Linked DNA regions of Yarrowia lipolytica. The protein of the gene in region 1 purifies or fractionates together with the protein of each later gene. This does not show direct contact. Links are inferred from orthologs where the notes say so. Each region holds a gene or a part of one and is shown on either strand. Other genes may lie near its edges.

Region 1 (3,602 bases):
ATTGTTTACATTTCAGCCCCAAAAATCCACATTCATCTCCACAAAATAAACTTTGACTTGTTGTGAGCACTGTACTCCCAAGACTCACATCTAAAACATCGTCAGTCGTCCCTAACTCGCCTCACACAACCGGAGGGGCTTCCGGCGGTTAATTCCTAGAACGAAAACACTACACCCAGCACTGTGAACACAAAAACCACCCTAATTATCCTCTATACTAGCTCCCACGGCCAGTGTTTACAAAGACCCGGTTCTCTTGATTAGGTTAGGGTTGTACAGTATGCGGCTACAGCTGTAAACATAACATTGATCGGCGGACGGTGTCAAGGGCCCGATGTTGGTGCGTGGGAAACTGATAGAAGCGATACCATAGCACCTTGTACTGTACAGGGAACCTCTGGGAGTATGTAGGGTGCTTCTAAGGTGTATCTACAGAGTGTTTTGACAGAATTGATGATTTGGAAAGTGTTGATTTTGGGGCAGAATCAAACCCGGAAGGTAGATAACAACACTGCCAATGGACTCACCAGAACCACGACAGTCCATTGAAGCCCTTTCCACGCCAATTTGACGCAAATTCACCTTCTTCAACCTCATTCCTTCTGTTGTTTCGATACTATGTTGCTGTGACAACCCCCGAACCTAATGCCCAATATGGCAATAACCCAACTGAAGCCGAACAATATAAGCACTGGGCCATGGCCTACCACTGAACACACAACACTACATCACCATCTTGACACTCGGTCACCAATTACCCAAAAAAATAAAAGAAGATGTTCAAGCGACCAGATCCCTTGAGGCCTCTGGGCAGCGAGCATCGAGACAATGTCGTCAACCCCATGAAGCTGCGGGCAGGCAAGGAGAACAACGACGCCTATCACAACAACAAGTACACCTCGGAGAACCAGCCACAACCAACAACCCCGTACTACACCGGCAAGGGCAACTACTACAATCCCAGCAGCAAGCCCGCCGTGAGCAGTGCCCATGCTGCTGCCGCCGCTGCCGCCATTGCCCCTACAGCCTCCTCCAGAGCTCCCACAGCCGCTACTCACAAGACTCCCCGGAAAAAGGAAAAGCTTTCCAGCTTGTGCAAGACTCCTCCTTCTCTCATCAAGAGTCGAACCGGCGACCACTTCGCCCGGGGCTCGTGTCTGGGCGAGGGTGGTTTCGCTAGATGTTTCCAGGTGAAGAATGATGCTGGCAAGACCTACGCTGCCAAGACGGTGGCCAAGGAGAGCGTGCGCAACGAAAAGACGAAAAACAAGCTGCTGGCGGAAATCAAGATCCACAAGTCGCTAAAGCACCCCAACATTGTCGAGTTCGTCGACTGCTTTGAAGACGACCACAATGTGTACATTCTTCTGGAAATGTGCTCCAACCAGAGCATGATGGAGATGCTGCGGGCCCGAAAGGGATTTACCGAGGGCGAGGCAAAGTACTACATGGTGCAGATTCTCGGCGCTATCAACTTTATGCACAGACGACGAGTCATCCACAGAGACCTCAAGCTCGGCAATATCTTCCTCGACGAGCACATGCATGTCAAGATTGGAGACTTTGGACTTGCTACGGTTCTGGACAAGCCCACCGACCGACGGGTCACCATCTGTGGCACCCCCAACTACATTGCTCCCGAGGTTCTTGCTGGCAAGCATAAGGGCCATTCGTTTGAGGTCGACATTTGGTCTGCTGGTGTCATTCTATTCACCATGGTCACAGGTAAGCCTCCATTCCAGTCCAAGGACGTGGAGACCATCTACCAGCGAATCAAGAAGAACGACTGGAAGTTTCCCGCCGATCTTCCTATCAGCAGCGAATGCAAGGATCTTGTTCGACAGATGCTAGTTGGAGATCCTCACCAGCGTATCAACCTGGCCAACATTCTCAAGCACCCATTCTTCTTCACTGACTTCCCCGCCTCCATTCATCCTCAGGCTGCTAAGCTGAGACAACCTGAAACCCGAGTCAGCTACACTCAGTCACACAAGAATTTTGAGGCCATCAAGATTGCCGCCAGACTCGATAGCAGACACCTGGCACCCCGATCGACATCTCCTCCCGTCACAATTGAGCGTCAGGACGTTGAGGCCGACCAGCCAGCCAAGATTCTCCCCCAGTCTCTGTCTCCGGCTTCCACCAAGGAGAAGTACAAGATGGTTGACGTCAAACCCGATCCCCAGGGTCCCCAGGCGATTGAAGCCGACCGGCGAGTCATGGAGAACGTGCCTCAGTCTATGAGCCTCAAACCCCAGAATCAGCTCTTCAAAATCTTTCATGAGGCACTGGACAGGCAACTCCGAAGTGGACCCTCACACCACAACTCCAGTGGCCGGGCAGACGAGAAGACCATCTTCATTTCCAAGTGGGTGGACTACTCCAACAAGTTTGGATTTGCCTACCAGCTGTCGTCCAACGTCGTCGGCGTTCTCATGGAGCAGGAAAAAACCATTCTTATGGACATGCGGTACGAGGAGCATCTGTTCCAGGTGGTGATGGAGCAGGAGGCAAAGGACGTGGCCACCCGAAGCAATCCCAAGAGCAACTGGTCTATTGACACCTTCACGAGCACACAATATCCTGCCGAGCACAAGCACCGAATCAAGCTCGTCAAGCAGTTCCACAAATTCATGAACGACCATCTGTGTATGGTGGAGGACGAGAAGGAGATTGGCCTGGACATGGTGTGGGTACTGAGCTGGCAGCGGTCGGCCGGATTCGTGGTCTTTCACCTGTCCAACGACTCGTTCCAGTTTAACTTTGAGGATCACTGCAAGATGGTCATTAGCCACTGTGGTCAATCCATGATGTTCATCGACGACGACAAGATGTTCCACCACTGGACGCTGGACGAGGCCTGCATGCACGCAGGAGAGGGACACTGGAATCTTCAGGAAAAGTTGGTGCGTGTGTACCAGTACTTTGAGGGTCTCCTTAACTAGAGAGGCTCAGAGACTCCGCGCAACAATTGTTGTGTCATTAAATTAGCTAACTTAATAATGCATGATACCATAATATTTGTGGGGAGAAAGTAGGGTGTCTATATCGAAGTTTTCGTCTGAAAAAAGTGGAATCTGTCTCATTCATGTGGCGAATAATGAGGAGGCTAAAACAAGGAAATGCTAAAACGGAATAATCATTTGGTTCGAAAAAAAAAGATTACAGCACCCAGGATTCTCGTATGGTTCTTCCACTTACAATACCTAACTAGGCTTTTCTGGTGCTTGACTATGGCTTAATCGGACGGGAAGCCGTATTTTCACCAGGGATATGGCCGGAAACCAAAGACTCGATACGGGGAATCGAACCCCGGTCTCCACGGTTCTCAGAATGAGAGCGTGATGTGATAGCCCCTACACTATATCGGAAGGTTAAAACAAAACCTTATTGGGTCAATAGAACGTGATATGAAGACCACGTGACCATTTTTGATTTGTCTTATTGCGAGAGCCTGAGAGGATCTATGAGAATAAATCCAGTGTGGGGTTGTTAAGAGCACTTTAAATACATGCCTTAGATATAAACATGACTGTTAGAGGAGTGTTGTTGCTGGTATCATTGTTGTTGCTTTTCATGAAAGTGACAGCTACAAGTCCACA
Region 2 (3,757 bases), on another chromosome or scaffold:
CATGGAGGGGGGGTCAGTGGATATCCTCTTTACTGCCATATTCTGAGCCTCTGCTCCTTCTTTTCCTTCAATTTCTGTACTGGTCCAACCATTTCGAGGTCCATGGTAGCGTCGTCTAGACTACCCCCTAAACAGTATCATACATGCGCATCTTTTATTGTTTACGCGTTCGCATCAAAAACTTTAGGCAGGCTACTGGACGAGCGATGCATACAGTATTTGGAAGATTGAGACTTGAATACGTCTGAAAAAAACACAAAAAGATACGATATTTCCCCTCGAGCTTGGAGATAACTGATTTTCCTGTCCCAATTCCAATCGGTATTCGCCATCACCCCGCATTGAGTTGTTTTCAACTGAAGATCAGTGGTATAGGCTTGTAGTAATAGTCTTGTCCAGACAGTATCGATCCACAGCAGCTCGACCGGAGCAACCAGTTTTGACGACAACAACAGTCGTTATCATTGATGTTCTACAGATAGTACCAGTCCGTTGAGGTTTGGTTTGATAGCTTCTGAATCGTGTGGAGCTGAATTCGCGTGGAGCTCTGAATTATCGTGCGTGTGGTTCGCAATGTCTATAACGAGAAACCAGCAAGTACTTGTACTTGAGTTATATTTTTGTTTTCTTCGTAATTTACAAAGTATTTCTTTTTTTTTCTTTTATTTTTTTTTTTTCTTTTATTTTTTTTATTTCTTTTATTTCTTTTATTTCTTTTATTTCTTTATTTTCTTTTATTTCTTTTACTGTATTTTTATTCCAAAATAAAGTTTAGATGGACGCGAGTGAAATGTAAATTGTCATTCTACCACCAACACGCGTACACTTCAACACAACATCACCACACACCATCACAACACCATCACAACACTATGGGCACCCTCAAGGCTATTGAGCTGTGCAACTTCAAGTCGTACCGTGATACGCACCGTGTGGATCTCGGTGACTCGTCGTTCTCGGCCATCATCGGCCCCAACGGTTCGGGTAAGTCCAACATGATGGACGCCATCTCGTTTGTGCTCGGAGTGCGGTCTTCGCAGCTCCGATCCACCCAGCTCAAGGACCTCATCTACCGAGGCCGAATCATGCGTGGCGAGGAAGTCAGCTCGACCCAGTCTCAGGAAGCCACGTCGGCATACGTTCTGGTGGAGTACGAAAAGTCAAATGGAGACCTACTCAAGCTCAAGCGAACCATCACACCCTCGGGCACGTCTGAGTACCGAATCAACAACAAGGTCACGTCGTCAGGCGAATACAATGCCACCATGAAGAAGGAAAACATTCTGGTCAAGGCCCGAAATTTCCTGGTCTTCCAGGGAGATGTGGAGCAGATTGCCAGTCAGTCGCCTCAAGACTTGTCCAAGCTGATTGAAATCACCTCTGGCTCCATCGATCTCAAGCCCGAATACGACCGTCTCAAGGAGGAGCTAGATGTCCAGACTGAGCGAAGCAACGCAGCCTGGCAGCGACGACGTACCTACAACGCTGAGAAGAAGCACTACGTTGAGCTCAAGGACCGTTACGACGCGTACACCGCCAAGGCCGCAGAGCGAGACGAGGCCGTTGTGAAGCAGCAGCTGTGGAGACTGTGGCAGGCCCAAAAAATCGAAGATGAGGCCCGAGACCAGATTGAAGGTGGAGACGCTGCTATCCAGAACGCCGAGGGGGCTGTTCAGGAGGCTGCTCAGGAGGTGGAAAACGTGGCTGCCAAATATGCCAGCGACAAGAAGCGGCTGCTCAAGCAGGAGCGTTCGGCAAAGAAGCGAGCAGACGTCATTCTGGAGCACAAGCAGCAGCTCGTGCCTGTGGCTGAACGTATTGCTGTGGTGTCCGGCAACATTTCGCGTCACGAGGCTCGGTACGGCACTGTCGAGGCTGACTTACTTCGACACCAGGACGAAGTCAAGCAGACTCGAGGCTCTCTCAAGATGGTTCAGGATGCCTCCAGTGAGTTTGAACGAGATCTGTCATCGAAGCAGAAGGAGTCAGGCGGAGTTATTCGAACTGATGAGGACGCGGCCGAGTATAGCACGCTGAAAAATGAGGTGCACAAGCGGTCGCTGGCTGAGCAGGCTGAGATTGAGACGGTGAAGCGAAAACTCAGACCTGTTCTGGACCATAAGCGAGCTCTGGAGCAGGCACAGGAGGACTCGGAACTCAAGGTCAAGGAGTTTAAAAGCGAGTTTGGCGTCTACCAGACCCAACTGAAGGAAGCTGAGGAGGTACTCAAGACCCACCAGTCTGCTCTGAGAACTCAGAGTGAGTCTCTGGCTCGGGTTGTGGACGAACAGACTACCCGACGACGTGTCGAGCTGGAGCTTGGCGACAAGCTGGGTGTTGTGGCTAACCGTCTGATTGAGCTAAATGCGGTCAAGCGACAGACTGAGCGAGAACGACGACTTAAAGAGACTGTTGCCAACCTGAAGCATGTTTTCTCGGCACAGAAGGTCCACGGTCTCGTCTACGACCTGTGCAAGCCCAAGGAGAAGCGACACGATCTTGCTGTGGAGACCATTCTCGGTAAGGACATTGATTCCATTGTTGTGGACAGTTTCAAAACTGCACAGGACTGTATTGCATACCTCAAGGAGCAGCAGGGCGGTCTTGCCTCGTTCATTCCCCTCGATACTATCAAGGCCATGCCTGTCAACTCGTCGTTGCGGTCGCGTCTTCGTGGGGCTGTACTTGCCATTGATGCCATTTCCTTTTCGTCTCAGTACGAACGGGCTTTCCAGTACGTTTGTGGCTCGGCCATTGTGTGTGACGACCTTAAGGAGGCTAAACGCCTTGGATGGAGCCTGAATGTCAAGGCTGTGACCACCGATGGCTCCGTGATTCACAAGGCTGGTCTTATGACTGGTGGTACTACCCAGAAGGGCCACCATGGCGGCAAGCGAGCATCCAAATGGGACGAGTCTGAGGTTACAAAGCTCCAGGCAGAGAAGGATGCTCTGGTTTTGGAGCTACAGACTGTTGGTCGGCAAAAGTTTGACCCCGAGCGTCAGGATACACTGCAGCGTGAGGTTGACAAGGTGCGACAGGAAGTGTCTGCTGCCCAGAAGCATGTTGCCAGCCTGAAGGACCGTCTCAAGGATATCAATTCGCAGCTCAAGTACTACAGCGAGGAGGCTGCCAAGAGCAAGAAGCAGATTGCCAGCACCGCCAGTGATCTCGAAAAGCTCGAGACACAGAAGGCCACCATTCAACAACGCCTTGACGAAGTCTGGTACACCGTGTTCTCGTCTTATTGCACTCGTGTCGGCGTGACTGTTGAGGACGTGTTTGCATATGAACAGACCCATGGCTCTCTCTCCGCTGGTGCCGAGCGAAAGCGGCTCGCATTCTCTCAGCAGATTGCTACTCTCGAGTCACAGCTCAAGTTTGGCTCCAAGCGTGTGGACGAGTGCAAGGGGCGACTGGCCAAGATTCGACAGTCTATCGATGATGACAAGGCAGCTGTGGATGGCTGGGAGGCCGATGAGGCCCAGCTGAGAGAGGACATTGGTATTCTGGAAGAAAAGGCTCGAGCTGAGGCAAAGCAGGTTCAGAAGCTCACAGCTGCCGTTCAGAACGCGTCAACTGAGTCCAACGCTGCCAAGGAGCATCTTTCCCGAGCTCAGGGCGTGGTCGATAACCTGCGACGAAAGCTTGCCCAGTCTGAGACCGAGCTTGAGACTGCTGCTACTCAGCGGTACGAGGTTCTGCGAGAGTGCAAGATTGAGGGCATTGAGCTTCCTCTGGTGTCAGGTGATCTCGA

What was found.
Region 2: the proteins of YALI1_D34395g (region 1) and YALI1_E18843g purify together in Saccharomyces cerevisiae (affinity purification with mass spectrometry, with the first as the bait; 3 studies listed by BioGRID). This does not show direct contact. The link is inferred for Yarrowia lipolytica from reciprocal best matches to the Saccharomyces cerevisiae genes CDC5 and SMC1.

What each region holds. Positions count from the first base shown.
Region 1 is NC_090773.1:3,438,718-3,442,319, forward strand, and holds YALI1_D34395g (uncharacterized protein), read left to right. Parts: upstream 1-776; coding exon 777-2,945; downstream 2,946-3,602. UniProt on the Saccharomyces cerevisiae protein: Protein kinase required for the cell cycle where it is involved in mitotic exit. A component of the fear (CDC14 early anaphase release) network which promotes CDC14 release from the nucleolus during early anaphase. Phosphorylates SCC1/MCD1 and NET1.
Region 2 is NC_090774.1:1,881,469-1,885,225, reverse strand, and holds the start of YALI1_E18843g (uncharacterized protein), read left to right. Parts: upstream 1-872; coding exon 873-3,757. UniProt on the Saccharomyces cerevisiae protein: Involved in chromosome cohesion during cell cycle and in DNA repair. Central component of cohesin complex. The cohesin complex is required for the cohesion of sister chromatids after DNA replication.